4 linked regions of the Tamandua tetradactyla genome follow. The protein of the gene in region 1 interacts with the protein of each later gene in a biochemical or structural test. Links are inferred from orthologs where the notes say so. Each region holds a gene or a part of one and is shown on either strand. Other genes may lie near its edges.

Evidence for each region.
Region 2: of the proteins of MAPK9 (region 1) and ATF2, one has a biochemical effect on the other in vitro, tested with the Homo sapiens proteins (4 studies listed by BioGRID and IntAct, with this or other methods). The link is inferred for Tamandua tetradactyla from reciprocal best matches to the Homo sapiens genes MAPK9 and ATF2.
Region 3: the proteins of MAPK9 (region 1) and MAPK8IP3 form a complex in vitro, tested with the Homo sapiens proteins (2 studies listed by BioGRID). The link is inferred for Tamandua tetradactyla from reciprocal best matches to the Homo sapiens genes MAPK9 and MAPK8IP3.
Region 4: the proteins of MAPK9 (region 1) and JUNB form a complex in vitro, tested with the Homo sapiens proteins (2 studies listed by BioGRID). The link is inferred for Tamandua tetradactyla from reciprocal best matches to the Homo sapiens genes MAPK9 and JUNB.

The regions. Positions count from the first base shown.
Region 1 is NC_135346.1:1,030,023-1,037,289, reverse strand, and holds the start of MAPK9 (mitogen-activated protein kinase 9), read right to left. Parts: upstream 3,010-7,267; 5' UTR 2,873-3,009; intron 1,926-2,872; exon of another isoform or gene 1,441-1,925; intron 1-1,440. UniProt on the Homo sapiens protein: Serine/threonine-protein kinase involved in various processes such as cell proliferation, differentiation, migration, transformation and programmed cell death.
Region 2 is NC_135329.1:147,335,213-147,342,655, forward strand, and holds the start of ATF2 (cyclic AMP-dependent transcription factor ATF-2), read right to left. Parts: upstream 3,021-7,443; 5' UTR 2,936-3,020; coding exon of another isoform or gene 2,916-2,935; intron 1-2,915. UniProt on the Homo sapiens protein: Transcriptional activator which regulates the transcription of various genes, including those involved in anti-apoptosis, cell growth, and DNA damage response.
Region 3 is NC_135349.1:55,767,207-55,774,051, forward strand, and holds the start of MAPK8IP3 (C-Jun-amino-terminal kinase-interacting protein 3), read right to left. Parts: upstream 3,005-6,845; 5' UTR 2,985-3,004; coding exon 2,658-2,984; intron 1-2,657.
Region 4 is NC_135337.1:89,837,065-89,844,291, forward strand, and holds JUNB (transcription factor JunB), read right to left. Parts: upstream 2,480-7,227; 5' UTR 2,179-2,479; coding exon 1,135-2,178; 3' UTR 516-1,134; downstream 1-515. UniProt on the Homo sapiens protein: Transcription factor involved in regulating gene activity following the primary growth factor response. Binds to the DNA sequence 5'-TGA[GC]TCA-3'.

The sequences.
Region 1 (7,267 bases):
AAATCCCAAATGTGGAAACACTATAGAACGACAAAGCTCTCTGACAAACTGCAAGAAATAAACTACAAAGAAAACAACAACAAAAAAGAATAGAGAAGGAACCTACAGATTAAAAGAAGTTGAAAGACATCAAACAATCAAAATGTGGATGACCTTAGCTGAATCAAATGAACACACTGTGAAATAAATGATAAAAACACGGGACAACTGGAAATTCGAATACTGGTTATCTGATTATTTAAGGAATTATGGCTCTTTCAAGTTAGAAAGATTCCTCACCTCTTAGAGACAACAAACCAAATTGATGAGGGGGAGGGCATAAGGCCACAGGTATAAGGTATGAAATTAAGGAAGGTGAGAGAGGAAAGACGACTGGGCGTGAGCTGATAACCGCACAAGCTGGGTACTCTTCTAGCTATTGTCATATAAGTTTAAAAATCTCCATAAGACACAGTTAAAATAAAAGCCTGACAGACAAACTATCACAGTTTACAGAAGGCCAAGTACCAACTTAGTTATTCTTCAGGAAAATTACATGTAACTGGAACCTTAGAAAAGGTAGTTTCTTCTTTTTTAAAAAACAGTAAAAAAAAAAAGTAGTTTCTCTTTTACTCTATGCATCATGAAAACGGGAACGTATCTACTCTATTAACTGCTCTGTCTGGAACTTTTCTTCATCCAGAAAATCATGACAATTTTACTTTAATGAGACAAACATGAAATTCAAGTGTACTCGGCATAACATTTTGGGGACCCCATAAATTATTTAAAGTCATGGCACTCTGAAAACTCAATTCTCAGGAATGCCAAAGCTTTCCAGAGAATACTGTGCCAAACGGGATTCTTTTTAACCTCTCAGGATCCTTTTGCAGGGAGAACAAAAGGTTTAAAGGAGGAAAGGGTCATTTACAACAAATTCAATTAAAAGCCAGAAGACAATACTCAGAGCTAAGGGACTGTGGGAAGGCCACTGGGTCTGCCCGGAGACCTGGATTCAGATTTCACCAGCAGCTGCCTGGTGGGAAGCCACCGTGTCAAGGCAGCAGGGACAACCCTCTCCCCGGGGAGTGTGGACGTCCTGGCTGCTCCCCCCAGAGCTGCAGGGACAGCAGGAAATACCCCGGCCCAGCTCCCCGGGCCTCAGGCGGCTTTCCAGCTTCTCCCCAGCAGCAGGTCCCCAGACTGAAATTCCTGCCGACAAGCTGCATGGGGTTTATGTTTAGCTTGGCTAACATAAACATAAGCATTAAAAAAAAGAGTATAATTACTTATTGTCGGTATATAAAAACAAGGAGACTGAACTTAAAAATCTAGAGCGCCTCTGCTGCCTGGCAGAAGTCACCGCTCCCACCCGCCTCCTCTCCCATCCAGACCCGACTCCATCACCACCTGTCACTCCTGCCTGTCTCTACAGCACGGCCCCTCCACTGCGGCAGTTACCCGCTGTTCCGGAACTGTCTGCCTGGCTCCTTCTGGGGTTCTCAGGCTCTCTGGGGGAAGGGACCCTGCCACCATCTCCTTTGTGTCCCCTGCACCGGCACAAAGCCTGACCTAGATAACACGGAACTCACAAGTGCCTCCTGCATGTAGCAAAATAAGCTCAAGCTAAGACACAAATATGTAGCTTTTCCATCCATAGCTTGCTCCAATAGTTGCCAAATAAAGAGGTCAAGGCCATGAAAATGTTTCACAAAATGAGAACAGGCTTCCATCTGCTTCCAGGTTCCACTAGCTAGCCCGAAATTACTAAAGGACAGGTGAACCAGAGGCACCGCCAGGTCTCTCTTTAGATCATTCATTCATTCACTCAACTGATATCACTGCTACTCACTGGATGCTTTCTCAGCACTGAGAAGACAGCAGTGAACAAATCACAGAACTACCTGTTTTCACAGCGCCTACATCCTAGTAGGCAAACAGAAAATAGGCAGCAAATAAATGGAATGGTTTCAAACCAGAGTAAACTAAGAAGAGAATTAAAGCAAGGAGACAGAATGACTAAGGGAAGACAGAGGGTGGTCAAAGAAGGCTATTCATGCTGGCCAGAGGCAGGAATGCTGAGGGGCCAGCTCTGCAAAGACCCCAAGCCAACTCCAACCCTGGGAAACAGCAAGTGTAAAGGCCCCGGGAAAGGCACGTGAGGGGCTGTGGGTGGGGGGAGTGGCAGGACAGCTGGGCAGGGAACACTCAGGAGTGGCCTGGCTTTGAGTGTGCAATGACAACGCACTGGAGGAGTGGGGGCGATGGGGGGGTCTCCTGCCACACACTGCAGCAGGAGGCTGTATCCCTCCCACTGGTGCACAAGCATGCGGGGCTACCGCTCCAGGCGCCCGCACACAGCCGCACACCTGACCACAGCCCTGCCCAGGCCAGTGGGTGTTCCCTTACTTTCTCCAGAAGAACATCCAGGAGCTGCGAGGGCCCCGCCTCGGCCAAGGTCGCGGTGACGAGACCCGGGCTCCCGCACGTCCCGGCGCGGCTGCGCGGCTGCGGGCCCCACGGTCCCGAAGGCGGGCACCTGCGGACCTCACCCCAGCCTCATCCCCGGCGCGTCCCGGCCCTGGAGCGGGCCCCAGCCCCGGGTGCTGACCGCCGCGGGGGAAGGGCGTCCGCCGCAGCCGCGAGGCCAGGGCGGCGCCGGCCCGCGCAGCACCGCAGCCCCCGCCCGCAGCTCCCCGCAGCTCCCCCGGCAGCCCCACGACCCCCAAGTCCCCGGCCCTCCAACACCCTCGCAGCCCCCGGCCCGCAGCGCCCCCCGCAGCCCTCCGCCTGAGACCCCGGCCCGTGCCCCTGGCCGCAACCCTCCGCCCTCCGCCCGCAGCCCCCGGGCCGCAGCCCCCGCCAGGCCTACCCGCCCGCCCCGCAGGCTCACCTCGCTCCCGCCGCCGCGCCGGACGGACAGGGCTGGCGGGCGGCTCGGAGGCCCCACGCTGCTGCTCGCCCCCCGCAGCCCGCCCGGGCCCGGCCGCCGCAGTGGGTGTGAGGGCGCCCGGCGCGTAGCCCCTTCCGGTCCCGCTCCTCCTCCCCCCGCGCCGCCGCCGCCGCGGCGCCGGGCCCGACTGACCCGCCAGCCGCCCAATCAGCGCGCGGAGAGCCTGGCCCAATAGACTCGGCCCGGCCAATCGCGCCGCGGGGCGGGCCGCGGGGGCGGACCAGGCCAGCGGGAGGGGCCTGGGGCGCGGCCCGCAGCCTGAGGTCCGGGTGCCGGCGCCCGAGGTCTGTGCGGCGCCTGCCGAGACCCGCGCGCCCGGAGCCTGAGGTCTTGGTGCGGACGCCTGCGGGTTCTGCAGAGCCCGGATGGGGCCGAGAGGGTGGACCGACAGGCTGACCGGACCGAGAGCCGGGCGGGTGGCGGCGGGGACAGGGCAGGAGCTGCCCAGGATCGCGAGCGAGGAGCGGAGAGAGGCGCGGGGACGTGGGTCGCTGCGCGGCCTCCGGGAGCGGGTTTGCCGCGGGCGTGGCTACAAGCCATGGCGGGGCGGTGGAAAGCAAGAGGAGGCGAGGAGGTGGGACGCAGACGTCGACGCTCCCCCGGGGCCGGGGAGGGACGCGAGAGAGGCGGGGCCGGGGCTCTGGATGCTGGGGGTAAGGAGGTCCGAAGGGGCAGCCTCTGTGTCAGAGGAGCAAAGGGGCAGATTTATACCGAGGGAGGGGGCGCGGGGGGGGGGGGGCCGCGGGAGGCCGGGTTCTGTCTGCTCGGAGCTCTCTGGAGGCGTCTCCCACAGCCCCGCCGTCCCGCTGGGGACTGGCAGGCCTGAGTTTTCTTCCCGCGGTGGGTGCATCTCGGGCGGCGGGAGCACCTCGGGCGGTGGGGTCTGCCATCGCGCCTGGCTGAGCGACCTGTCCGGGAGGAGCTTGGGCAAATTTAGAGAAAGCTCAGCGGTCAGGGCATACCGGGAGGAGGCGGGCTGACTTTGGGGGCAGGCAAGTAGGAAATGGTGGTCGGTAAATGGGAAAGCAGCAGTCATAGGACGCCGGTGCGTGGACTGGAGAGCTGGGAGCAGGGCCCTCTGGGGAAGTCAGGGGCTGGGGACCCCGGGCGGGGTGAGGCTGATGGCACCGGGGTCTCAGGCCTCGGGGAAGGGGTGGGATGGAGGAGCTAAGGGAGCCTCGGGCCCCTGACCTTGGCCGGCAAAGGGGTGACCGGCTCATTCCTGCTAGAGCGAGGCTGACAGGAGAGACAGGTCCAGGCGGCCTGTCCTCACCTCACACTGACCTGCCTGCCACTTGGCCTCAGGCATATTTGCATGATCAAAAACAAGTATTTTGGCAAACCAGAAAAACCTTTTTGCCCGGGAACACTCAGGGGCCTGCTTTTACAGCACCCACCTTTCAGGGCACCCTTCACTCCATGCCAGGGAAGAGCCAGAAATCACTGTACGTTGCGCACACACACACACACACACACACACACACACACACACATTCCACACTAAGTTTTCTATAAGGAATCCAGTCCAAAGATACTGCCTTTTTCTGCCTTATGACATGCAGTGACATTTGCAGATGCACAGTTGGGGTGACAGGTTGGGGTGGGGTCTCTGCCTTGGAGGGGTGCACAGAATCCTTCCCCCACCCCGTGCCCACTCTGGCTGCACATGTCCTGGAGGAGACCTGCTGCTGGTGGCCCCTCAAGCTGGCAGTACCACTGTGCAGGCAAAGGGCAGCCAGCTGACTAGACGTGTTACACAAGGAAGGGGTCATGTGATTGGGTGTTTGTTTTGGGAAAGTCACTGGGGCATGAGAGGTTTTTTTGGGGGAAGGGGGCATTGAGGAACTTAGGGTTGTCAGACCAGTTGGGGTTGTGAGAAAGCATGAGACCCTCCCTGGGGCCACAGCAGCAGGTGCCAAGAGGGAGAAATTGATTTTAGAACTATTCAAGTCTTTAGGTAAATGAGAATTAAAACTATAGTGAGGTGCCGCTCAGCACGACTTAGCATGGCTAAAATTTTTAAAAATCGGACGATACCGACTGGTATTGTGGCCACGGAGCGACTGGAGTGCTCACTCCCAGTTGGCGGGAATGCAAAATGGCACCGCCTCTTTGGAAAGCGGTTTGATGGTTTCCTTTAAAGTTAAGCATATGTGCGCCCTACAACCCAGCAATCCCATTCCTAGGTATTTATCCAAGAGAAATAAAAATGTGCCCATACAAAGATCTGTGCGTGATTGTTTAGAGCAGCTTTATTCCTGACAGTTCAAAAGCTGGAAACCACCCGTGTGCCCCTCATCCGGAGAGCAGATAAGCCGCATGTCCAAACAATGGAGCGCGCCACAGCAACCAAAAGGAACTACATGCTGACAAGGTCACGGCGTGGATGAATCTCAAAAACATGCTAAGTGAAGGAAACCAGCCACAAAAGCTGATATCCTCCATGATTCTGTTTATATGACATTCTGGGAAAAAAGGAAAGTCAGATCAGTGCTGGCCAGAGTGGGAGGAAGGGACTGACAGTAATGGACAAGAGAGAACTTTCTGGGGTAATGGATATAGTCTATATTTTGATTTTGGTCGTGGTTATATGAGTATATATTTGCCAAAACCAAAGAATTATTTTATGAAAAAGGGCCTTTTTGTTTTTAATTGGTTGACTTTCATTTTTTAGAGCAGTTTTAGGTTTACAGAAAATTGAGCAGATAGTATGGGGAGCCCCCGTATACCCTCCAGTCTCTGGATTACTAACATCTTTATTAGTGTTGGTATTTGTTACCATTGACTAAGCAGTACTGATCCGGTGTTAACTCAGGGCTCAGGCTTCACTCCCGGCCTCCGCCGCGCGGCCGCCCCCGCTTCCGCCACGCGCCAGCCACGCAACCACCCCCCCCCCCCCCCCCCCCCCCCCCCCCCCCCCCCGCCTCTGGCAGGCACCTGTGGTCGCAGTCGCACAGACGATCCCGCGGTCCTGACGGTGCCCCATGCATCCCCGCTTCATCGCTTGCCCCTTTCCAGCCCCCGTGCGCCCCTTCCCCTGCGGCTTTGCGGCCCCTGGGTGGGCTCCCTGCCGGGAAGGCCGTGGGCCCTTCCTGGCTTCTGGGGTGCTCACCCTCCCTTTCCCCGCCTCAACCCGCAGCTCCCGCCCCTCCGTGATGCCACAGCTGCCGGACACCGAGCACCGCTGCCGCTCGCTTGCCTGGCAAAGGAGAGGAGGGCGCAGGAGGGCGGGGAAGGGAAGGGAAAGGAGAGCAGAGGGAGCTCTGGCCTCGACCCCTGGGCTGGAGGGTGGGCAGTGGGGGCGCCCGGGTCCGCATGCACAGTCCGGGGCTGGGCTTCCCATTGCCCCATCTCGCCCCCTCGGGGACCGCCTGGGCTCCATCCCATGGCCCACGGCCCACCCCCCACCCCCGAGGCGGCCTGGGCTCTGAGCTGTTGGCCCTGCTTTCCTGCTTGCACCTCTGGACTGGGGCTTCCCTTCTCCGAGCCTCAGTCCTGTGGGCAGCGGGCTGGACAGTCGGGGCCCCTGAGGACGCAGCAGGAAGGTGGGCAGGTGCACTGGGTGGCCTGGGTCCTCGGTGGCTGCTTCCCAGGCGGACCAGGTGCGCCCTACAGACCTCCCACAGCCCGCCGCCTGCTCCCTGCTGGGGCCCTGGGCTGTGTTTGCCATCCCAGCCCCATCCCTTCTTTAGCAGCTGTATCTCCGCAGGACTTTGGAGAACCCCCTTGTGTTGCGGGCTCTGTCCCCTGCACTCCAGCCCCAGGCGTCGCCCCTCAGTGTACCCGGTGTCCTCAGTGATTGCTTCAGGGATGGGCAGCTGTGCCGGTTTGAAGCTATTATGTTCCCCAGAAAACCCACGTCCTTTAATCCTCATTCAGTGTTGCTGGGTGGGAGCTTTTTAATTGCTCCTATGGAGATGTCACTCGCCCAATTGTGGGTGGGACATTTTGATTAATGGTTTCCATGGAGATGCGTCTCTACCTATTCAAGGTGGGGTTGCTTCCTGGAGCCCTTTGAGAGGGAACCGTTTGGAGAAAGCTTCAGAGCCCGCACAGCCAGAGACCATTGGAGATGCGGAAAGAAAACACCTCCGGGGAGCAGTTGAAGAAATCTGGAGAAAACTAGCAGACCTCCCATGTGTCTTCCCAGCTGAGGGAGAAAACCCGAGCTTCATCAGCCTTCTTGAGCCAAGGTATCTCTACCTGGATACCTTGGTTTGGACATTTTCATAGCCTTGCTTTAATTTGGACATTTTGAAGGCCCTAGAACTGTAAACTTGCAAGTTAATAAATTCCCTTTTTAAAAAGCTGTTCTGTTGCTGGTATATCGCATCC
Region 2 (7,443 bases), on another chromosome or scaffold:
GGTATCTACTTGATGCATAAGAATAACCTCCAGGATAACCTCTCGACTCTGTTTGGAATCTCTCAGCCATTGACACTTTATTTTGTCTCATTTCACTCTTCCCCCTTTTGGTCGAGAAGGTTTTCTCAATCCCTTGATGCTAAATCTCAGCTCATTCTAGGGTTTTTCTCAATCCCTTGATGCTGACTCTCCGTTCATTCCAAGATCTCTGTCCCACGTTGCCAGGAAGGTCCACACCCCTGGGAGTCATGTCCCACGTAGAGAGGGGTAGGGTGGTGAGACTGCTCGTTGTGTTGGCTGGAGAGAGGGGCCACATCTGAGCAACAAAAGAGGCTCTCTTGGGGGTGACTCTTAGGCCTAAATTTTAAGTAGACTTGACCTATCCTTTGCGGGGTTAAGTTTCATATGAACAAACCCCAAGACTGGGGGCTCTGCCTGCAGCTTTGGTTGTCCACACTGCTTGTGAGAATATCAAGAATTCAACTTGGGGAAGTTGAATTTCTCCCTGTTCTCACCACTCCCCAAAGGGGGCTTTGCAGATACTTTTCCACTCACTGATCAAATCACTCTGGGATTCATTGGGGCATCACTCTGGACAAACCAGCAAAATCTCATGTCCTACGTGAGATTCCAGGTACTTATGGCATTCAATCAAACTATCTACATAAGTTGTATTACGAGATGCACTAGTCAAAATAAAAATTTTTTAACTAATAAACATTTTTTGCTTTAGTCTCACACATACGGTGACATTTTAAAATATTAATTACCATCTATTTTCAGCACCCTGCAATAATGACATTCCTCTGTTCTTCCTCATGCAAAAACATTTTTAAAATTTGTACATTTAGTCACTATTATTATACACTCTAGGCATTCCTAGATATACCATCTCAATCTTTAACATCTATCTTTCTTTCTGATTTCATTTATGCCCCCAGCCCTCCTCCCTCTATTGTTCTCACATGCAGCTTCATTCAGTGTTTTAACATAATTGTATTACAGTTAAGTAGTATTGTGCTGTCCATTTCTGAGTTTTTGTATCCAGTCCTATTGCACAGTCTGTATCCATTCTGCTCCGATTACCCAATATCTTACCCTATTTCTATCTCCTGATGGTCACTGTTATGAACAAAATATTCTAAGTTTATTCACTAATGTCAGTTCATATTAACGAGACCATACAGTATTTGTCCTTTAGTTTTTGGCTATTCTCACTCGGCATAATGTTCTCAAGGTCCATCCATGTTGTTACATACTTCATAACTTTATTCTGTCTTAAAGCTGCATAATATTCCATCGTATGTATATACCACAGTTTGTTTAGCTACTTGTCTGTTGATGGGCATTTTGGCTGTTTTCATCTCTTTGCAATTGTAAATAATGCTGCTATAAACATTGGTGTGCAAATGTCCGTTTGTGTCTTTGCCCTTATGTCCTCTGAGTAGATACCTAGCAATGGTATTGCTGGGTCGTATGGTAATTCTATATTCAGCTTTTTGAGGAACCGCCAAACTGCCTTCCACAGTGGTTGCACCATTTCACATTCCCACCAACAGTGAATAAGTGTGCCTCTTTTTCTACATCCTCTCCAGCACTTGCCATTTTCTGTTTTGTTAATAATGGCCATTCTGGTGGGTATGAGATGATATCTCATTGTGGTTTTGATTTGCATTTCTCTAATGGCCAGGGACATTGAGCATCTCTTCATGTGTCTTTTGGCCATTTGTATTTCCTCTTCTGAGAGTTGTCTGTTCAAGTCTTTTTCCCATTTTGTAATTGGATTGGCTGTCTTTTTGTTGTTGAGTTGAACAATCTCTTTATAAATTCTGAATACTAGACCTTTATCTGATATGTCGTTTCCAAATATTGTCTCCCATTGTGTAGGCTGTCTTTTTACTTTCTTGATGAAGTTCTTTGATGCACAAAAGTGTTTAATTTTGAGGAGTTCCCATTTCTTTCTTTCTTTCTTCAGTGCTCTTGCTTTAGGTGTAAGGTCTATAAAACCGCCTCCAATTATAAAATTTATAAGATATTTCTGTACATTTTCCTTTAACTGTTTTATGGTCTTAGACCTGATGTTTAGATCTTTGATCCATTTTGAGTTAACTTTTGTATAGGGTGTGAGATATGGGTCCTCTTTCATTCTTTTGCATATGGATATCCAGTTCTCTAGGCACCATTTATTGAAGAGACTGTTCTGTCCCAGGTGAGTTGGCTTGACTGCCTTATCAAAGATCAAATGTCCATAGATGAGACAGTCTGTATCTGAGCACTCTATTCGATTCCATTGGTCAATATATCTATCTTTATGCCAGTACCATGCTGTTTTGACCACTGTGGCTTCATAATATGCCTTAAAGTCAGGCAGCGTGAGACCTCCAGCTTCGTTTTTTTTCCTCAAGATATTTTTAGCAATTCGGGGCACCCTGCCCTTCCAGATAAATTTGCTTATTGGTTTTTCTATTTCTGAAAAGTAAATTGTTGGGATTTTGATTGGTATTGCGTTGAATCTGTAAATCATTTGACATCTTAACTGTATTTAGTCTTCCAATCCATGAACACGGTATGCCCTTTCATCTATTTAGGTCTTCTGTGATTTCTTTTAACAGTTTCTTGTAGTTTTCTTTGTACAGGTCTTTTGTCTCTTTAGTTAAATTTATTCCTAAGTATTTTATTCTTTTAGTTGCAATTGTAAATGGAATTCATTTCTTGATTTCCCCGATTGTTCATTACTAGTGTATAGAAATACTGCAGATTTTTGAATGTTGATCTTGTAACCTGCCACTTTGCTGTACTCGTTGATGCAACATTAATTCTTGCTGTAATTTCTGGCTAGCCCCCACAATCATCTGTGCCAATTCCTTAAAATAAATATTTTAATGTTTAAAAAAATAAAATTTAAAATCTCTTACCTTTCTGGCTGGTGGGCCATGAGCTTTATATTCACTCTGCTGCCAGGAATCACTCCTCTCTTATCAAATAAGCAGAGCTTCCAAAGTTTCCATTTAAGTATCCTTAGGGCAAAGGATAGGCAGAAAAGAGTGAACTCATTAACCTGCACGATCTAAAAGAATAGCCTCATGCAGTACAACTGCACTATGAAGTTTTAAAAGTATTTTCCTTATTCTATATTTTAAAATGCATGGTAACATTGTAAACACAATTAATACCGCTGAATTATACACTTGAATGTGATTAAAATGGGAAATTCTGAATTGTACATAGAGTACCAAATTAAAGTTTTAAATAAAAAGGTAGAAGTTGGATCTTAAAAAAAAAATGTTAATTTTCCCTTCCATTCCCTATTTTTTAATATAATATGTTCCCTCCAAAATCTTTAATGCTCAAGGAAGGTATTTATCTTGTGGCCTCTCATAACTCCTTGCACATGCAACATATCAAAGGAATGACACTTTCAAGGAGGGAAGTAAGACAATAGAACCTTGGTGAAACACAGCAGATATACGAAGTTTTTCACCATGATAGATAGGGGGGTAAGGAGGAAGGCATGATGTTAGGTGAAAAGGCAGTGCTGCATCTCAGCATCAAAATCCTGAGTGTGACCACAGTACATGGAACATTGGACAGGGCATGAGATTTTGTAGGTTGGTCCAAGTTAGTGTGATGTCCTGATAAATCCCAGAGGGATTTGTACAGTGAATACAGAAGTATTTGCAAAGTCCCCTTGGGGGAATGGGAAGAATGGGGGAAAATTCAACTTCCCCATTTGGAGAATTCCTGATATTCTCACAAGCAGTGGGGACAACCAAATCAACAGGCCAAGCCCTCAATCTTGGGGTTTGTTTCTATTAAACTTATCCCCACAAAGAATAGGCTAAGCCTACTTAAAACTAGGCCTAAGAGTCTTTCCCAGAGAACTTCTTTTGATGCTCAGAAGTGGCCTCTCTCTCTCTCAGCCAACACAGTAAGCAAACTCACTGCCTCCCCTTCTCTACATGTGACATGACTCCCAAGGGTGTCCCTGTCCCTGGCAACATGGGACAGAAACCCTAGAATGAGCTGGGACTCAGCATCAAGGGACTTAGAAAACCTTCTCAATCAAAAGGGGGAAGAAAGAAATGAGACAAAATAAAGTGTCAGTGCTGAGAGATTTCAAAGAGTTAAGATGTTATCCTGGAGGTTATTCTTACACATTAGATAGATATCTCCTTTTTAGTTTATGGTGTATTAGAGTGGCTAAAGGGAAACAGTTTGAAATTTTTATGTGAATGCCAAAAGCTAAAAAGATACTCATTTCAAGCTGACAACAAAATTATTTTATATACAGACTCCTGTTTCCTAAAGGCAAAATTTTCTGAACTGGACATTTAGTTATACAAACGTAAAATGGAGACTATAAACGGAGTAGCAATTCAAAGGACAAACAGCTCTATGGGACAATGTAAAACTGAACATCTTCTAGGTAGAGATAAATTTCTGCAAATTATTTCCTTCACATAAATGTTTATTTTCTAGGTATTGGCTTTCAGTGGACTTATTTGTAAGGAAAGGTTTGTGTTGTTATCTCAACAGTTGCTCAAAAACTTCTCTCTCTCTAAGCCAACATGGCAAGCAAACTCACCGCCCTCCCCACCTGTATATGTGACATGACTCCCAGGGGTATAAACCTTCCTGGCAACATGGGACAGAAATCCTAGGACGCTAGGACTTGGCATCAAGGGCTTGACAAAACCTTCTCGACCAAAAGGAGGAAGAGAGAAATGAGACAAAATAAAGTGTCAGTGGCTGAGAGATTTCAAATAGAGTTGGGAGGTTATCCTGGAGGTTATTCTAACACATTATACAGATATCTCCTTTCTACTTTATGGTACATTATTGCAGCTAGAGGGAAGTACCTGAAACTGTGGAGCAGTGTTTCAGTAACCATGTTTCTTGAAGATGATTGTATAATGATACAGCTTTTTAACTGACTGTGTGATTGTGAAAATCTTGTGTCTGATGTTCTATGGTATAGATAGATGAGTAACAAATATGGATAAGAAATTAATAAATAACAAAGGTTAAAATAAATTGAGTAGATTGAAATACTAATGGTCAACAAGAGGGAGGGTGCCATGGTCAGGTTCATGTGTCAACTTGGCCAGGTGGTGGTAACTGTTTGTCTGGTTTGGCAAGTGCCGACCTGTCTGTTATGAGGACATTTCATAGAATTAAATCATGATCATGTTGACTACATCCACAGATGATTCCATTTGTAATCAGCCAAGGGGGATGTCTTCTTTAATGAATGATGCTTAACCTAATCAATCACTGGAAGTCTTTTAAGGAGGATTCAGAAGAGACAGCTCTCTTCCTGCTGTGGCCGGCAACAACTCCTGTGGAGTCTGTCCAGACTCTCCATCAGAATCATCAGCTTCACAGCCTGCCCTACAGGTTTTGGACTCTACGTTCCCACAGTTACATGAGACACTTCTATAAACTTTATATTTATGAATATTTCCTGTTGATTCTGTTTCTCTAGAGAACTCTAACTAATACAGAGGGGTAAGGGGTATAGTATATATGAGTTTTTTCTTTTTAATTTCTTTCGCTGGAGAGATGCAAATGTTCAAAAAAATGATGATGGTGATCAATACACAACTATGTGATGATATTGTGAACCACTGATTATAACCATGTCAAAAATGTTTGTATGCCAAGAATGTTTGTATTTTTTGTTTGTTGTTTACAATAAAAATATTTTTTAAAAAAGATCAGGAACAGACAAAACAATCCATTGTTAGAAAACAGTGAGATGGACTTGTGGTCTTATCTTCACCTCAAACAAAATGAAACCAGACTAAGCCAGCTGTATGTGGCCTGTCTTACACACGCAACATTAGATTATCATCCAAACTTTGAAAAACAAAAAAAATGTATATACAGCAGAGTATGAAAAGGTTATCAACAAAATACTTTAAAACATAAACACAGACTGGATTCAAATAAAATTATGTTGGAGAAATGGAAAGAAAATAGGAGTTAAATAAGAAAAAGGAACATAAAAATGTCCAACTGTTGAAGATAAACTCATTTGAGTTTTTAAAAAAAAAAACAACAGTATGTGATCACTGGTATTTAATTATAAATGAGTGGTGCCATTATTTAGAAAAGGTACAAAATCTACTTTTTGTAACTATTTAAATATGTGATGAAAACTTTTAGAAATAAACTTAGAAATGTGTAAGGATACAAAGTTTATCAAATTTCTATTCAGGAATATGAATGTACTACACAGAATGGCTCCCCAAAGATGTCCATCCCCTAATCCCTGGAACTGGTGAATATGTTTTATGTTTGTTACATGGCAAAAGGGATTATGCTTAAGTAAAAAGACTACAGATTCTAAAATAGGGAGATCATCCTGGATTACAGAGATGGGCCCAATCTAATCACATGAGAATTTAAGAACAGAGACCTTTCTCTGAGAGGGGTCAGACAAATTCAAAAAAAGACGTCAGAGAAATTAGAAGCATGAGAAGAATTCAACTCGTCATTACTGGAGGGTGCCAGATGTGAAGCATTCCAGTTTCTAGGAGCAAAGACCAGTCCATTCCCCAACTCCCTGACAGCCAACAAGGAAAGGGGGACCTCAATTCCACAAGTACAAAGAACTGAATTCAATCATCAAACTGAATGAGCTTAGAAGCACATTCGTCCCCAGAGCTTTCTATAAAGAATACAAAACTGTCAAATCCTTCTTTTGGCCCTGTTTGGATCCTAAGCAGAGGATGCAGCAGAGTCTACCTGAACTTCTAATGCACAAAATCTGTGAGATCAAAAAACAAAAATAAAAACTGTGAGCTGTTTTTGTATATGTGTTTTAAGTTGCTGAATTTAGGGTAATTTGTAAGGCAGCAAGAGAAAACTAATAAAGTGAACAAAAACTTTAAGGTGCCGTTAGCTGAATAGGCTAGTGTCCCATGGCTTCAAAGCAACAGCACCCTATAGACACATTTTTCTCCGTGCTATAATTTCCTTCTTATATTGTAGTTAAGTACCACAAAAGCAAGCTAAATGATCCTAGAGCCCACCTTTGGAACAGCAATATGATCATAAAAACAAACCTAAACCCAGGAGATTGAGAACCTATGAGTTAGTAGGACTTCATTCCTTCTTCTCAAGGTTAAATTACATTTGAGTACCTTTTTTAGGAAAAATTTACATGATATAATTTCACTAAGAACCTCTCCAGTAAGAAATAAAACATGAATTCACCAGTTTGGGAGATATAAAAAAAGAATAAATTAAAATAATACATGTAAAATACATAGTACAGTACACAGCACCCAAATAGTATCTGTTGCTTATTACAAATTTTAATGTTTTACTTTGACTTTAAATGTACATTGTCCTAAGGCTTAACTAATACCTAATCTTATGATTTTCTTTATTTTTAAAGTCAGAAAGCATGAACTACATATTTAAACTTTTAGACAA
Region 3 (6,845 bases), on another chromosome or scaffold:
CAAAACTTTTTAATGGATACAAAGCTCAAACATGTCTTAAGATCTCTGTGGAAATTTCAGAAGCCCCAAACAGGTTCATTTAGCTCTGTGAGCCTGTGCCGAGCTGTGTTAGGACCTGCCGTTCTCAAACACAGGGGCAGAACTGGATGCCTGGACTTGGGACACCCGCATCGAGACTCCCTGCCAGAGGCTTGGCAAGGAAGGCTCCCTGGAACCTATCAGGACCCTGCTTCTTGGGCCTTGATACCACTAAATCCACCTTGGCACTGCTCTCCCAGCAACCAGAGGCCAACGGTCGGAGTTGGCGCTTGAGATGAACCATTCGCCATTCTGGCGACCTGCGCACTTTACAGGGAAGGTCAGTGTGGGCCAGAGTGGGGAAGAAACTCCCCTGGGCTCTGAGACCCAAGGGCAGGGCTGACACTCAGCGTCCGCGCTACCAGGTGTGGACCACATGGTCTCCGGTTACCACAAGTCCCACTGAACTAGCCACTTGGTAGCAGAACATACTCGCAATTTCTAACTGCAGTTATTACAGGCAAAAAGAAATAGGGACAGGCATGTCTGCCCTGCTGAAGGCTTTCTCTCTCTCTTTTTATGAAAATCTGCAGATTTTGTCTGCTCAGAGGCTGCAGGCAGCTCAGGTTACTTCCTCTGACTAAGCCTTCTTGAGCAGAGTGGTTGGGGACAGGCTCCGGCTAGGGCTCATATGGGAGGAGTCTGCAACGCCAACATCTTGGAGCTTGCAATACTCTAGCCCTTGTTATCAGACACATAAATACGTCATCACAATTCTCTGTCTGGAGAAAGAAGCTGGTCCGCAGTGCCATGGTGGTCTTTTCCCACAGAACTAAAACGCATGTCCGGTTGATTTAACAGTGACTTAGAATGCCAAGCATTTCTGTAGCTGTAACATCACTTGAGGTCTTCCCAAGGACATACTACCAGCATCTAACCCAAACCTTGAGGCTGCTAGCCAAGTATGTGTTTTCTTCACGGCTCTCTGCTCATGCAGCTCTCTGGGCAGCTTCTCTGAATAGCTGCCCTAGTGCTGGTTCTCAGACCCCAACCACACACGCACACCCAACAGCTCTCAGTCCAGCAGTGAGGGTCAGTAGGAGGGCAAAGCACACTTGGTAGAGGTTGCATGTGAAGTGCACAGAGCAGAGAAAGCCTGATCTATGTACAGCTAATTTTAAAGCAAAGCTATGATTCTTAGCTACAAGACTGTCCCTTTTGACTTTTCTCCTTTTAGTTCCTTTTCACCCACTACTGAAGGAAGAAAAACCAATCTGAAACCTCCATTGTGCATCAAATGGGCACTAGAGCCGAGAGAGAGGTGGAGGGCAGTGCCCAGTGCCCAGGTATGGTACTCTGATCCCCAGAGCTTGAGACAGGAGGAAGTGTCAAGCTGGGAGTCAGGGCTCGCTCCAGGGCCCAGTCCTGCTCACCCGCAGTGTGTGACCTTGGTCGGGTCCCTCCACTCCTCGGGTGGCTCCTACCCCGGAAAATGCCCAGGCTGCTCTGAGCTCTGAAGTTCTCTGCGCTATCGCACGCCCTTACGTTGAGAGATTGAGCTCAGCTCTGGTGGCACCTGGGCACCCCCATCAACAGACAGCAGCAGCCTCTTGACAGATAACAGGAAATCCCAGAGCAAAATAAACCACACTAAATAGGAACAGTACAAGACACTGTTCCTTTCTATAAATAAACTTTAAGTCAAATGAGGGTGTAAACCGGGTTTAAGGAAAACTCAAAATACTGAAGCAACCTTTCATTTCAGTACTGAAGTCAGGAATGTGCTACATGAATGACAAGGGAATCTGAACTCATTTGACAGGACACCTCCTCTCCGTAAATCAAAGCGCTCCCCCTAACTCCTGCCACAGCAGCACCTCCAGGCGGGGGTCCATCCAGGGCAACTTGCTCATCTGACTGATGGAGCATCCCAGCCGGGAGCAGGCCCGCCAGCGGCCAAGGTCACAGAGGGGGTCTGCGGCCAGGCAGGGGTGGAATCCCATATCCCCCACCCCCCTTCACTCTGCTGTCCTCCACAAAGGGCAAAGCCGCAGGTCGGGCGAGTGACCACGCTCAAGTATTCGGTGGTGAAGGAACGAAGCTGCTGGTATTCCCTCGCACACAGCTGGCCCCAAACCGGCCGATTTCCAGGCAATGGAGGCGGCCTACAACACAACCCAACCTTTCAAAGCCTGCAGAGCCAGGGCGGAGCCCCTGGCCGCCCACAGCCAACTCTGTCGCCCCCGCAGGGAGCCAAGGGGCACCTCCCCACCCGAGTCTTTCACCCGATGCGGCTTTCGTGACGTGGTATGTCCACCACCTGGTCCACTCAAGCCGCAGACCCGCCAGATGCTGCGTGAGGAACAAAGGAAAAGGGCTCCCGACACCCGCGGCGCTCCTGGGCGGCGGAGGGGCCGGAGATGGTGACCCCGGGGTCTGGGGGTGAGAAGGGGAGGCGCGTGGGGCGGCGGGCGGCGCGTGGGGCGGCGGGCGGCGCGGGGCGGCGGGGGGGACGGGGCGGGCGGGGAGCGGGGCGGCGGGGGGGACGGGGCGGGCGGGGAGCGGGGCGGCGGGGGGGACGGGGCGGGCGGGGAGCGGGGCGGCGGGGGGGACGGGGGCGGCCGCGCGGGCCCACGCACCTCCTCGGCCTGCCTGCGCAGCGCCTTCTCGCGCTCGTACTGCGTGAGCAGCTGCTCGTTGTCCTCACGCAGCAGCTCCAGCTCCACCTCGTGCTCCTGGTTCTCGCTGAGCACCGAGTCCAGGTTCTCCAGCACGTTCACCACGAGCGGCATCAGCTCCTTGACCACCTCCTCGTCGTAGCAGTGGATAAGGCGCTCGAACTCGCGGTAGATGGAGCCCGCCAGGCCCGACACCCGCTCGGACATCACCGAGCCCGAGCAGTAGTCGTCCTGGTACACCACCACGCCGCCGCCCTCGTCCATCTGGATCTCCATCATCGCGGCCATCGCCGCCGCCAGCGCGGCCCGCCGTCCGGCCGCCGCGAGGGTCCGCAGGCCGCAGCAGGTCCTCGCCGCCGCCGCCGCTGTCGCCTCAGGCTCGGCCGCCGCGCCCGTCACTCACTGGCCGGAAGCCCCGCCCGCGCCGGAAGTCCCGCCCCCGCGCCGGAGCCCCGCCGCGCGGCGCCGCCAGGGGTCGCCCAGCGTGAGAGGAAGCGGGTGTCGCGAGTCTCGCGGGGGGCGGGGGCGGAAACTCGGCTGGGCTGGGCAGGATGTGTTTCCGGTGGAGCCGCCCGGGGACCCGCCCGGGCTTCGAGACCGGGGGCGTGTGGTGTTTCCCAAACGGTTCTGCTTGGACTTCAGCCCGCCCCCGTTTACAAACAGGAACGTCCCTGGAAGCCCCGCGGCGGCGCTTCTCTCCAGGGCGGCCGTGGCCCGGCGCCCGCGGTCCTCTGAGCACCGGTGCAGCGTGACCGCGGAGCTGCGCGTCCCCACGGCGCGGCCCACCGCTTCTTAAGAACACCTCTGCGTCCAACCAGATGCGAGTTCGTCCCACCCTAAAATCCTGTAGCTTAGTCTGTTTCTGCCCTGCTTTTTTGTGTAACTTATTCAGATCCTCGTTTTTCTGCTGTCTTATTTTACCTGTCCATTGCATTTTTCATTTCAGTGGTTACTTTTAAATTTTCTATTTGCCCCATTTGGTTTTCTTATGTTTTACCAGTTCTTATAGGCGCTTATTCCTTACAGTTTAAGCGCTTTTTTTTTGGTATCTGAGTTCCATTACCAAATTTTTCAGGTCTGATTCTGCATTCTGCTCAGGCTCCCTCCCCCAGCCCCCTCTAGCTAGTGTTCCATGGGACGTCATCTGTGAAATTGTGGCTGTTTTAAAATGAGCTGCTCTGCAGGGTTTGTCTTTTCTTTTGCAGGGCATCGGGGGCTCTTTGAACCCACAACTAACATTTTCAGCCTGGGATTTACGTAGGCCACATAGGTGCTGTGAATTCTGGTCAAAAACCAAATCAGTGCCTGCTTAAATGCTCCCCTTTCACCTTCTGAAATGCTTCAGAGCCAATGCGAACCCTCATCATATCCCAGTTACACCCAAACAAGGAATTCTTCTGTCATTGACACCCCTAAACACACACTATATTTTCTACAGATTTTATCCTTGCAACACAATTTACTGTATACATGTTCACCTGCTCAACTCAGAGGTAGGTTATATGAGGCTCTCAAGTTTCAGACGCAGACTGTCTGGATTTTGATCCTAATCAAGTGACTGAATCCAAGTCTTCATTTCCAAACCTGCAAAACAGCCAAAAAATACTAGTGTACTGTGAACACTGGTAGATTAAGTGAATTAACCCACAAGAGATTTAGTTAGCTCTATTTCTAGCAGATAGTAAGCGTGCATTCAATGTTAGGTAGAAACGAATTGAAATTCTCAAAAGGCAGCAGGACAAATGGATAAAATATATTTAGTTCTCCCTGGTGAGCAAGAGAAAAACTTCCACCTTGGGCCTTTTGCAGAAATTTAACCCTTTTGAACCCTCTGAAGTAGCATGCTACTGCAGGAACAGTCACCTCGGCCACAAGGAGCCACTGACTGGGCCATCAGCTTTATTTTGATGGCTCAGGACCAGGGCAGATTTGTTGCTTGAAACTGCATTAAAATTAAACAAAACGTAACAAGATGACTTGCTGAATCCTTGCTGCTTACCAGATAGTGCAAAGAAAGTTCAATCTAAGGGAATTCCTAATAGACTAGACTTAGATTGATCTTCAAAGATAGTTTCAAGATACATAGTTCTCTGATCTTGAAAGATAGTTTGGGATTCAGGTTTTTCTTTCCTCATTACAAGATCCTTTATATGAAACATGGGCAAGTTTCAAAACTTGCTGATTTCTAAGTGGATGCCTCTCATGCTTGAAAAGGGCACCTCAGTCCCTGTAACATTTTTTTTTTAATTGAAGTTTACAAAGCATTGCTTTGCAGCCACTCATAAAACAGAAAATTCACTAGTGCTACCATTTAAGAATGCTAAGGATTAAGAACGGGAAAAAATAAAGAGGGGAGCCCAGAAGATGTGGTCAACTCTGGATGTGATTAAGCGGGAGCAGTGCAAGGTTTGACTGAGGCACCCCACAAAAAGCACGTTACCCATGGCTGGTGCACCCCCGACTGGCTGTTATTCAGGCCCTCACCCCCACACAGGTGGAGCCACTGCCATGCCTCTGGAGACAGAAGCTGTGGACCTGAGACCTCGGCTCACCTGTGACTGCAACAGCTGCTGCTAATATAGGTTATTTCTAGCTGCCCTCTACTGCAAATCACATGGGGATAAGCAAATGAAGATGGGTGTTTCATAACCCATGCCTGGCTTCTTTCTGATTTTCTGTCCTCATAGAGGGGGCTGGAACGATTCATCACCCTGAATCCATGTACTGTGGGTAAGGACATAAAGCCTGCTTCTGGGACAAGGGAAGATAAATGAGGAGGGAAGGCATCCAATCCTTCTCTCTATATATGGGTCTGACAAACCCAACTCTCAGGAGCAAGTCCAGTACTTTGTTTTTAGGAAAACAAGTGGTATAGAAGAAATAATCACTATTTCTTACAGAAATCTTACTATTTCTTACAGTAGCATACAGAAACTGGAAACACCACTAGCACGGTCCCAGTCATTCTACTCAGAGCTAAATGTTTTCAATGAAAAACCTTAAATCCATGTTTGAGAAAATTAACATGGAGATTGGGCCGTTTAAGGAAAGCACACACACACACAGCAAAGATTTTAAGTTCTTGATTGCTAAGTTTAATTCAACTGTTATACCCCATTCTGCCTTGTAAAAATAACACAATGTTCCTATCAAAATTACATTGAGATGTGAGTACAGGTTTTTTTGGTTGTTATAGCTCTAGAAAAATGTTGGCACCAAATGCACTAAAAAAAGGTTTAAGGCTTAATAAAAATACAGACTAGTAATTTCTCAAGGCAGCTCAGAGGTTTGAGATCTCCCCAGTGCAGATGGTCCCATGTGGCGCTTGCCTTCCCAGTACCACGGCCACTGGTCGTGCTCTATGCAGTTCTTCCACTTCTCCCAGTGAACGGACCACCCAGACAGGCTGAACCCTGTTCCTGCACCCTAATGGAGAGAAGAAAGGGGGAAAGGACGGGAAGGAGAAAGGGGAGGCGGAAAGTTCCATCCTTGCTGACTGGGGGTTCTGTCATCCACATTTTCCTTACTTCCCAAAGACTGCTCCCATCTTTGCTTCCCCATCCCCAATCATCACTAAGCATCAACAATCCCCAGTGCACAGATCCCGGCCAGGGCAAGAACGGGCAGCACTTCCTCCCACAAGATGACAGCAGGGGCGTGGCAGAGAACAAGGGTGAGCCTGTAACGTCGAGTTTCTCCCTGGTAAGCCAACGTGCTACTCGTGAATCATTTCCTCATCAAAAACATGGTTATACACGGCAGTTCATTTCCATCATTAAAACATTCCAATGACGTTATAAGTTACACAAATTAGTGCATTTGGGCTTGAAAAGCTAACAGCCATTTACGATACTGTTCTCAAATGGAGAGAAAATTGCTGTGTTCCAAAAAACTTCCCTATAAAGAACTGTGAGAGGCAAACTATTTGGAAGTTGGAGGCAGTGGACATTTCTTGGCTCTGAAGCTGGCAGGACAAATGGAAAGGGGAAGAAGCGGAGCTTGGGCAGCAGGGCCAGTGAAGGCGACCCACCCAGCTTCCACATGACTTCAACAGTCAAAGTGACTTCTGCCACTTGGTGTGGACCTCATGGGTCCCCTTCCCAAAAGCTGCCCCCAGGAGACCCTTCCTTCATGTTAACAGACGGCTGG
Region 4 (7,227 bases), on another chromosome or scaffold:
CCCTTCCTGGCGGGGGTGGCGGGGCAGGGCGGCGCAACGGCGCGGAGACTGCCGCAGCCCCCGCGCCCGGGTCGGGTCCTAGGGAGAAGGCGGGGTGGGGGGGGGGGCGCGGCGCGGCGCCAACCCGAAAGGGCGAGGCCCGCCCACCGCGGGTGCGCTGGACCCCGGCTTGGGGCTTTCCGGGCCCGAGTAGCCGGCCCGCCTGGGAAAATCCCGGCCCCCTTCCCGGCGCCGCGGCCCTGCCCGGCAGAGCGGGGGAGGGGATTCCCGGAATCTGCCCGGAGACGGCCTGCGCGTCACTGGGCAGAATCGGCCCATATATGGGCAGCTCTTCCGCTGCGTCAGCGGGGAAAGCCCCGGCGCGCGCGGCGGGGCGGGGCCGCGCCTGCGCGAATCGCGCCTCCCGCGCCTGCGCATTCCGCCCCTCCCGCGCGCGACCCGGGACCGCGGGGAGGGCCGGAGACAGGGTCCGTGCTGGGGAGGGTGGCACAGATGCGGAGCGAGCCACGCACAGCACTGGGGGAGCAGCCTTCTCCCCTTCCCTCCTCCTCGTCCTCCCTCCTGACATTGGGGGGAAAAAAATGACTCCAGAAATTAATAAAGAACCTTTTTTTTTTTTTTACTTAAATAAATTCAATAAAAAGTCAGAACAACAAACGCACACACACACACAAACACATCTTAAAATAAACTCTTTAGAGACCAAGTGCGTGTTTCTTCTCCACAGTACGATGCAGTTGGGGGGGAGGGCAGGGGGCGGGGGTCCCCTCCCCAGTGTCCCCGCGGGCTGGAGTACCGGGCGGCGGGGCCAGCTCCGCCGCGGTCGCCCCCTCCCTCCCTCCTTCCCTGTTAAATACACAAATATATTATATTCAATATGAATTGAGTCTGTTTCCAGCAGAAAAAAAAAATACAAAAAAAATAATAATAATAAACGTGGAGCTCGGAGTCTGTAAACCTCGAGGTGGATGGAGTGGGAGCAGCGCGCCGGCTGGCGGGCGGGAGTCCAGTGTGGTTGGCGGCGTCCCCAAGGCCCCCGGGGCCGGTGCCCACCGCCTGTCCCCTCGCCCCCGTGGGAGGAGTGCACCCAGCCGTCCAGGCTGGGGTGGGTGGGTGTCCGTCCAGGGGGGGCGCTCAGAAGGCGTGGCCCTTGACCGAGAGCAGCAGTTGGCAGCCGTTGCTGACGTGGGTCATGACCTTCTGTTTGAGCTGGGCCACTTGCTCCCGGAGGAGGCCGGCGGTGCTCGACAGCCCCGCGTTCTCGGCCTTGAGCGTCTTCACCTTGTCCTCCAGGCGCGCGATGCGCTCCAGCTTCCGCTTCCGGCACTTGGTGGCGGCCAGCCGGTTCCGCAGCCGTTTGCGCTCCACTTTGATGCGCTCCTGGTCTTCCATGTTGATTGGGGACACCGGCGGTGTGGCGTCGCGGCTGCGCGCCTCGGGCACGGTCTGCGGTTCCTCCTTGAAGGCCGAGGCGCCGCGACCCAGGCCCAGCTGCGCCGGGTGGCCGCCGGCGAAGGGCGGCGCGTGAGGGAGGTAGCTGATAGTGGCCGTCGGGTACGAGCTCCCGGTCCCGACCGCCGCCCCGGCGCCTCCGGAGGGCGCAGAGGCCGGGGAGTAGCTGCTGAGGTTGGTGTAGACGGGAGGCGGCTCCGGGCCCGCGTAGACACCCCCGGGCCCGGCCGGGGGCCCCCCGCTGGTGCCCAGGGACACGTTGGGGGGCGTCACGTGGTTCATTTTGTGCAGGTCGTCCAGAGCTTTGACGAAGCCGTCGGCGAAGCCCTCTTGCTCCTCGGTGACGCTGCCCCCTGCGCCCCCCGCCCCTCCGCCGCTGCCGCCCCCGCGGGGGTAAAAGTACTGTCCCGGCGGCGTGGGCGTCGTCGTGATCACGCCGTTGCTGTTGGGGACTATCAGGCGCTCCAGCTCCGACGAGGCGAGCTTGAGCGACGCACCGGTGTCCGAGCCCTGGCCGGAAAAGTAGCTGCCGCCACCGCTGCCCTCCGGGCCGGGACCGCGCGCCCCGGGCGCTTTAAGGCCCCGGTAGGGATCCGCCAGGTTGAGCGCCAGGCTGGGTTTCAGCAGTTTGTAGTCGTGTAGGGAGAGGCCGCCAGGGGCCCGGCCGTAGCCTGCCGCCGCGTACGAGTCGTCGTGGTAGAAGGGCTGTTCCATTTTAGTGCACATCCGGGCGGCCCGGGCGGGCTGGGGGGGTCCCTGCGGGGCCGCCCCGGGCCTCGCTGCAGCGAGCTGCTCGCTGTCCGCGGAGGTGGCTGGATCGCGTGTCTGGACGCGCGTTCCCGGGGTCCCGCACCGGCGGGGGGCGGCCAGCCAGCGGCTGTGCGCGGGAGCTCTGCCCGCCTGCCCAAGCCCCTCTCGCCCTCCTCGGGCGCGCTCGCTTTCTCGGCGTTCGCTTTCCCACTGCCCCTCCGCTCCCGGCTGTCTCCGACGCTGGCCCGGCCGCGCTCAAGGTCCCTGCTGCTGGGCTGGAGCCGCCCGCCTTTATACGACGCTTGTCAGCTGCGGAAGTGCGCCCCGATTGGCCGTCGCCAGAGCCGGGCCCCCGCGCCCCCCTCCCGGAGCGTGGGGAAGGGGAGGAGGCGGCTCGCGTCACTGTCAGGAAGCGCGTGTCCTTGTAAACAGCGGCCACGGGCCGGGTGGCGCGGCGCGGCTTCACGGGGAGGGGCTGGAGGACCCAGGGGTACGCGAAGCAGGGCTGCTAGGGGGCCCGATGTACACCGGGGAGGGGCTGCGAGGAGGGCGATGCTTCCCCAGGAGTACCCGGGGAGAGATTCGAGGGCCAGGAGCCGAGGCTGGGGTGGGGGTGGTGTCCCAGGGCGAACGTGGAAAGGTTTGAGGGACCCCGAGTGTCAGAGAGGGGTTGGGGAGGGGGTGCTGAGAATACACTGTGAGCACCCAAAAAGTAGGCAGAGGAGGGTTAAACAGGGTAAATGCAGAGGAGTAAGGAGATACCTGTCCCAGGAATTGAGTGAGGATCGCAGAGGAAATTTTCACAGGAGGGGCTTAACGCAGGCCCAGAGAGGAGGGGAGAGAATTACAGGCACACGGGGGAAGGGGTGGACAACCCATTAGGCAGGGAACTAGTAGGGATCCTCACGTCCATGGCAGAGTCTGAGGGTCCCCTTAAGTGGGGAGGGGAAGGAGTTGGGGGCTCTAGATATATAGAAAGTGGGTTAGGGTCTTGGGGTACATTTTGGGTCTGGGGAAATATGTGGAGTAGAATATGAGACATGCCTGTCCGAGGGGCTAGGTTGGGGATTAGGGGCCATCTGAGAAGCCTTGATGGACTAGAGTTAGAAAGGGGTCGAGGCACATCTTTGGAGCTTAGAGGACAATGACGGGAGGGTCCCCAGCTGGGGCAAGCAGGAAGAGAGGGGGCTTCTAGGATCCTGGGAACGGGACGTGCTGGGCGTTCCATGACTCGAGCCCCACCCCAACCCCCACTCCAGTGCGTGACCCGTGGCACCCCAATACTCTGTCCCCAATCCGATGCCCTTCCCCCAGTGACCCTGTGGTCGCCCGACACCGTGTTGGGTCCTGGAGTTGGGACCCAGCCCGACGGCTGGGGCGCGGCCTCGCTGCCCCACTCCCTTCCTTAGAAACAGGCTGGGGAAAGAGCGTGGCGGCAGGAAGTGTGGCAACAGCCCCCGGGGAAGGAGCCCGGCCCTGCCTCCGTCACTCGGATCCTCCGGGACCGTGCGCCCCGCCCGGGCTCCGCGCCTGGGAAGAAGAAGCCGGACGCGCGACCCCCGCCGAGGCCTGGCCGCGCCGAGCTCGTCGGTGCCACCGCCCCCCGCTCCGGGAATGGTTCCGTCCGCGGCGCGGGCAGACAACGCGGGGATGGTTCCATTGGCCCCACCGAACGGGGAGTAGCCTGGGGAGCGGGGCCTGGTCGCCATGGCAACAGGCCGGAGTCCGCTGGCAGGACTGGGTGCCGGGCGGCCCCTGGAGTCTCCCCCCACCCCCACCCCACGCCCATATAAGGTCACAGGAAGGGGTGGGGCCTGCGCCGTCCCGGGGCCCCCAGCCCGGAGCCGGGAGCCCGGGGATCTGCCAGGTCCCAGGGCGCCCTGGGCCCCCGGACGGCTAGTCCCGACCAGCCCCGACCTCCGCCCCCAGGGCCCCGACGGCCGCCCGGCCCCGCCCCGCCCAGCCGCTCTGGGGCCGCGTCCTGCCGGGTCCAGCCAGGCAGGTCCCCGCCTGCCCGCGGGCCTGGGTCGGACTTCGCCCCCGGCCCGACGGGGCACCAAGGAGGCTGGGCAATGCCTGGAGGCGCCCCGGCGCCTGGGCGGGCTGGCACTGCTGCCTCCTTCCTCCGGGCGGGGTGCCCTTCCCCTCTGCCAGGAGGTCTGGGCGCTCCCCCAAACCCTCAGACACACACTCCTGGGGCGCCACTCCCTGGCTCTTGTAGGCTAGGGCTCCCCTTGCGTCTTAGCCAGCGGTTCCCATCTCCCATCTAGAATGCCTGGAGGGGGTCTCCATTCCCTCCTGAGGAGGTCCCCCCTCCCCACAGGGACACCTCCCCCCACAATCAGAGAGGACCTAAAAATCCAAGGAGAGAACGGGAAGAAACACAGCACCCTTTCCCAAGGAAAACTGGGTAGAGATTCAGATAGTGAGGCTTCTAGTTAGACTTAAGATGGGACTTCCAAGCACCTAGGGTGTGGACCTCTGGGAGAGGTGAGGTGGAGGCTGGGCTTGCTCAGGAGAGCAGCTCCCTCTCTGAGCCTCCCAAACTCTGTCTTCTGGGAGGATGGAAGCCCTTTTGGGATAGAGGCAGGCTGAGAGTCTAGGGCTGGCAGGCACAGAGGTGGTCCAGGGTAGGGGAGAGAAGGAAAATGACAGAGCCGAAAGAGAAACTGAGCTGTATGGGGGCAGGGGAAGTCCAGCAAAGTGGTAGCCTGGCGGGGTAGGGAGGGGAGAAGATCCCATGCAAAGCTGGGGGCGTCCCCATCTCTGAAGGGTCCCTGTCACCCATAAGAGTACCCCCCACCCCTCTTCCCCTTGCACTACCGGCTCCCCTCCCCCGCCCCAGTCTCGGGGAGATTCCGGCGGCGGCTGCTGGTGGCTGAGTCTGACCGGCGCGCTGCCAGGCCTGTGTCTCCCGCCCATGCTAATAACTGCAGCTGACATCTGGCCCGGTGGGGGCGCAGCGGGCAGCGTTGGGGGGGCTGGGCAGGGTAGGCCAGAGGGCAGCAGCACCTTGGGAAGTTGACCTGCAGGTCCCATAGGCCAATTGTAACTCAGACCTGGGGTGAGGTGTGTGGGGAAGAGCCCTGCAGGGGCAAAGCTGTGCCAGCAAGGGACAGAGGGCAAGTCCCAGAGTGTGGAGCAAGGAAGAGTAGGTGTTTGGGGGTTGGGGTCAGGGCAGGGAGACAGACAGGGGCAGGGTTAGCGTCCTGGAGACAGAGACAGACTCCCAGACACTTCAGGTAAGAAGACAGATGGAGAAATAATAATTATCCCTTTAATAGCTAGCACTTATATGGTGCTTCTAAGTGATTTACGTATAGTCAGTCATTAGACGCTTGCAGCAACCCAGCAAAATAAAGTCTCTTGGTCTCCCCATTTAACAGAGGAGAAACTGAGGCACAGAAGGTTCCAGAACTTGCCCAGTGTCCCACAGTTATGAGGGGTGGAGTTGGGATATAACCCAAAGAGTTTGGCTCCAGGGTCCCAAGAGAAAAACAGGCAGGGGATCAGAGCTCTGGAGAATCAGAATGAGGGGGCAAGGAGCCTTTATGCAGCACCAACTGTATGCCAAGCTCTGCAGGCCCTTTCACAAAGGGTCTCCTGTATCCAGAGAGAGGAGGAGTTGGGTGCAGGATGGGTGCCCAGAGGGTGCCGTGCCGTGGAGTGTATGTGTGGGGTACCTCAGCCTGTTGGGGTCGCTCAATGCACCCTGCAAGGAAGGGTGTTTGAGCAGGGGGTGGGAATGGGGCTGGTGAGGGAAGGCGGGGGCCTAGCTGAGCTGGTCCAGCCGGTTCCAGCCCCTGCCAGTCTCACCCTTGTGGCCTGGGTGCCACCCCCTCATGCCGCCCCACTGGCGCCAAGGCCAGCCCCACAAGGAGGGTGTGAGGATGGCCCCCTCTCTCCCCTGGTCTGAGTGCCCAGACCAGCAGGGGGCTGGGTAGTCTTGTGCCCAGGCTTCCCCCACACCCAGGGGCCTGGGGTGGGGGTGGGGGGTGCAGGATAAGGAGGAAGTTCACCTACCCCCACCCACGGGTCTCTCGGGGGCTTTTGGCCTGGGCATGAGGGACTTCTGCTTCTTATAAATAGCTTGGTGACCCCCTCACTCCTGGCCCCACTGACTGACGGGGCCCCCCACCAGGAAACTGGGCTGGGGGCTGCCCGTGAGTCAGCCAGTGGGCAGGCCAGGACGAGAAAACACAAGTCCCAGCACCCAGCCTCCCGCGTCCCTGCCCTGGGTGTGGACAGGCAGCTGGGCAGGAAGAGTCACGGAGGCCCTCCTCCCCCACCCCAGGAGCCCCTGGTCTGCCAGCCATTTCCCTCCCCCATCCCTGTGGTCTGGGGGGGCTCAGGGTTCAGGAAGTTCCCCCTTAGCCCCTCTCCTGGAGAGGAAGCTGCTGGGTTTTCTTGGAAGCAGGAAGTATAGAGTTGGTCTCCTCGGGCTGACTCAGCTGGGCATGGGGCAACTTTTCCCATAGGGCTGGTTCTGTCTCCCCCCACTGCTGGTGAGGTCTTGGTGGTGGTGGTGGGGTCTCTGAGCATGGCGAAGATCCTCGGTGCCCCCTTTACAGGGGACGCGATGAAGAGACAGGCCCACACCCCACCAGGGTCTGACTTCTGAGCTGCTGAGCTGGGCCTCCTGGGGGAAGTGATAAACAGCAAGAGGGAGGAAGGCAGGGAGGGAAGGCGGGGGTAATTTGTGGAGAGAGGAAGTGCCAGGATCTAGGGGAGGGGGCCCCAGAGCCCCACAGGGCCTCTTGGCACAGGTCCAGGGTGCGTCTGCTCTGCTTGTGGGTTTGCCCACAGCTGGCCTGCGTGTGTGTGTGTGTGCGGGTGTGCGTGAGGCCTGTTTCATCAGTGTGTGTGTGTTTGTGTGTTGGCCCAACCCTCCAGGGGTGTGTGTAGGGCCTGTCAGTTTAGGGTTCTGTTCTGCTGTGACTGTGTAGGAGGGAGGTGGGGGGGTTGCGTGTGTGTCTAGGGTTTGTGGGGTGGGTTGCATGGGGCTGTCTTATATGGAGGTATGGG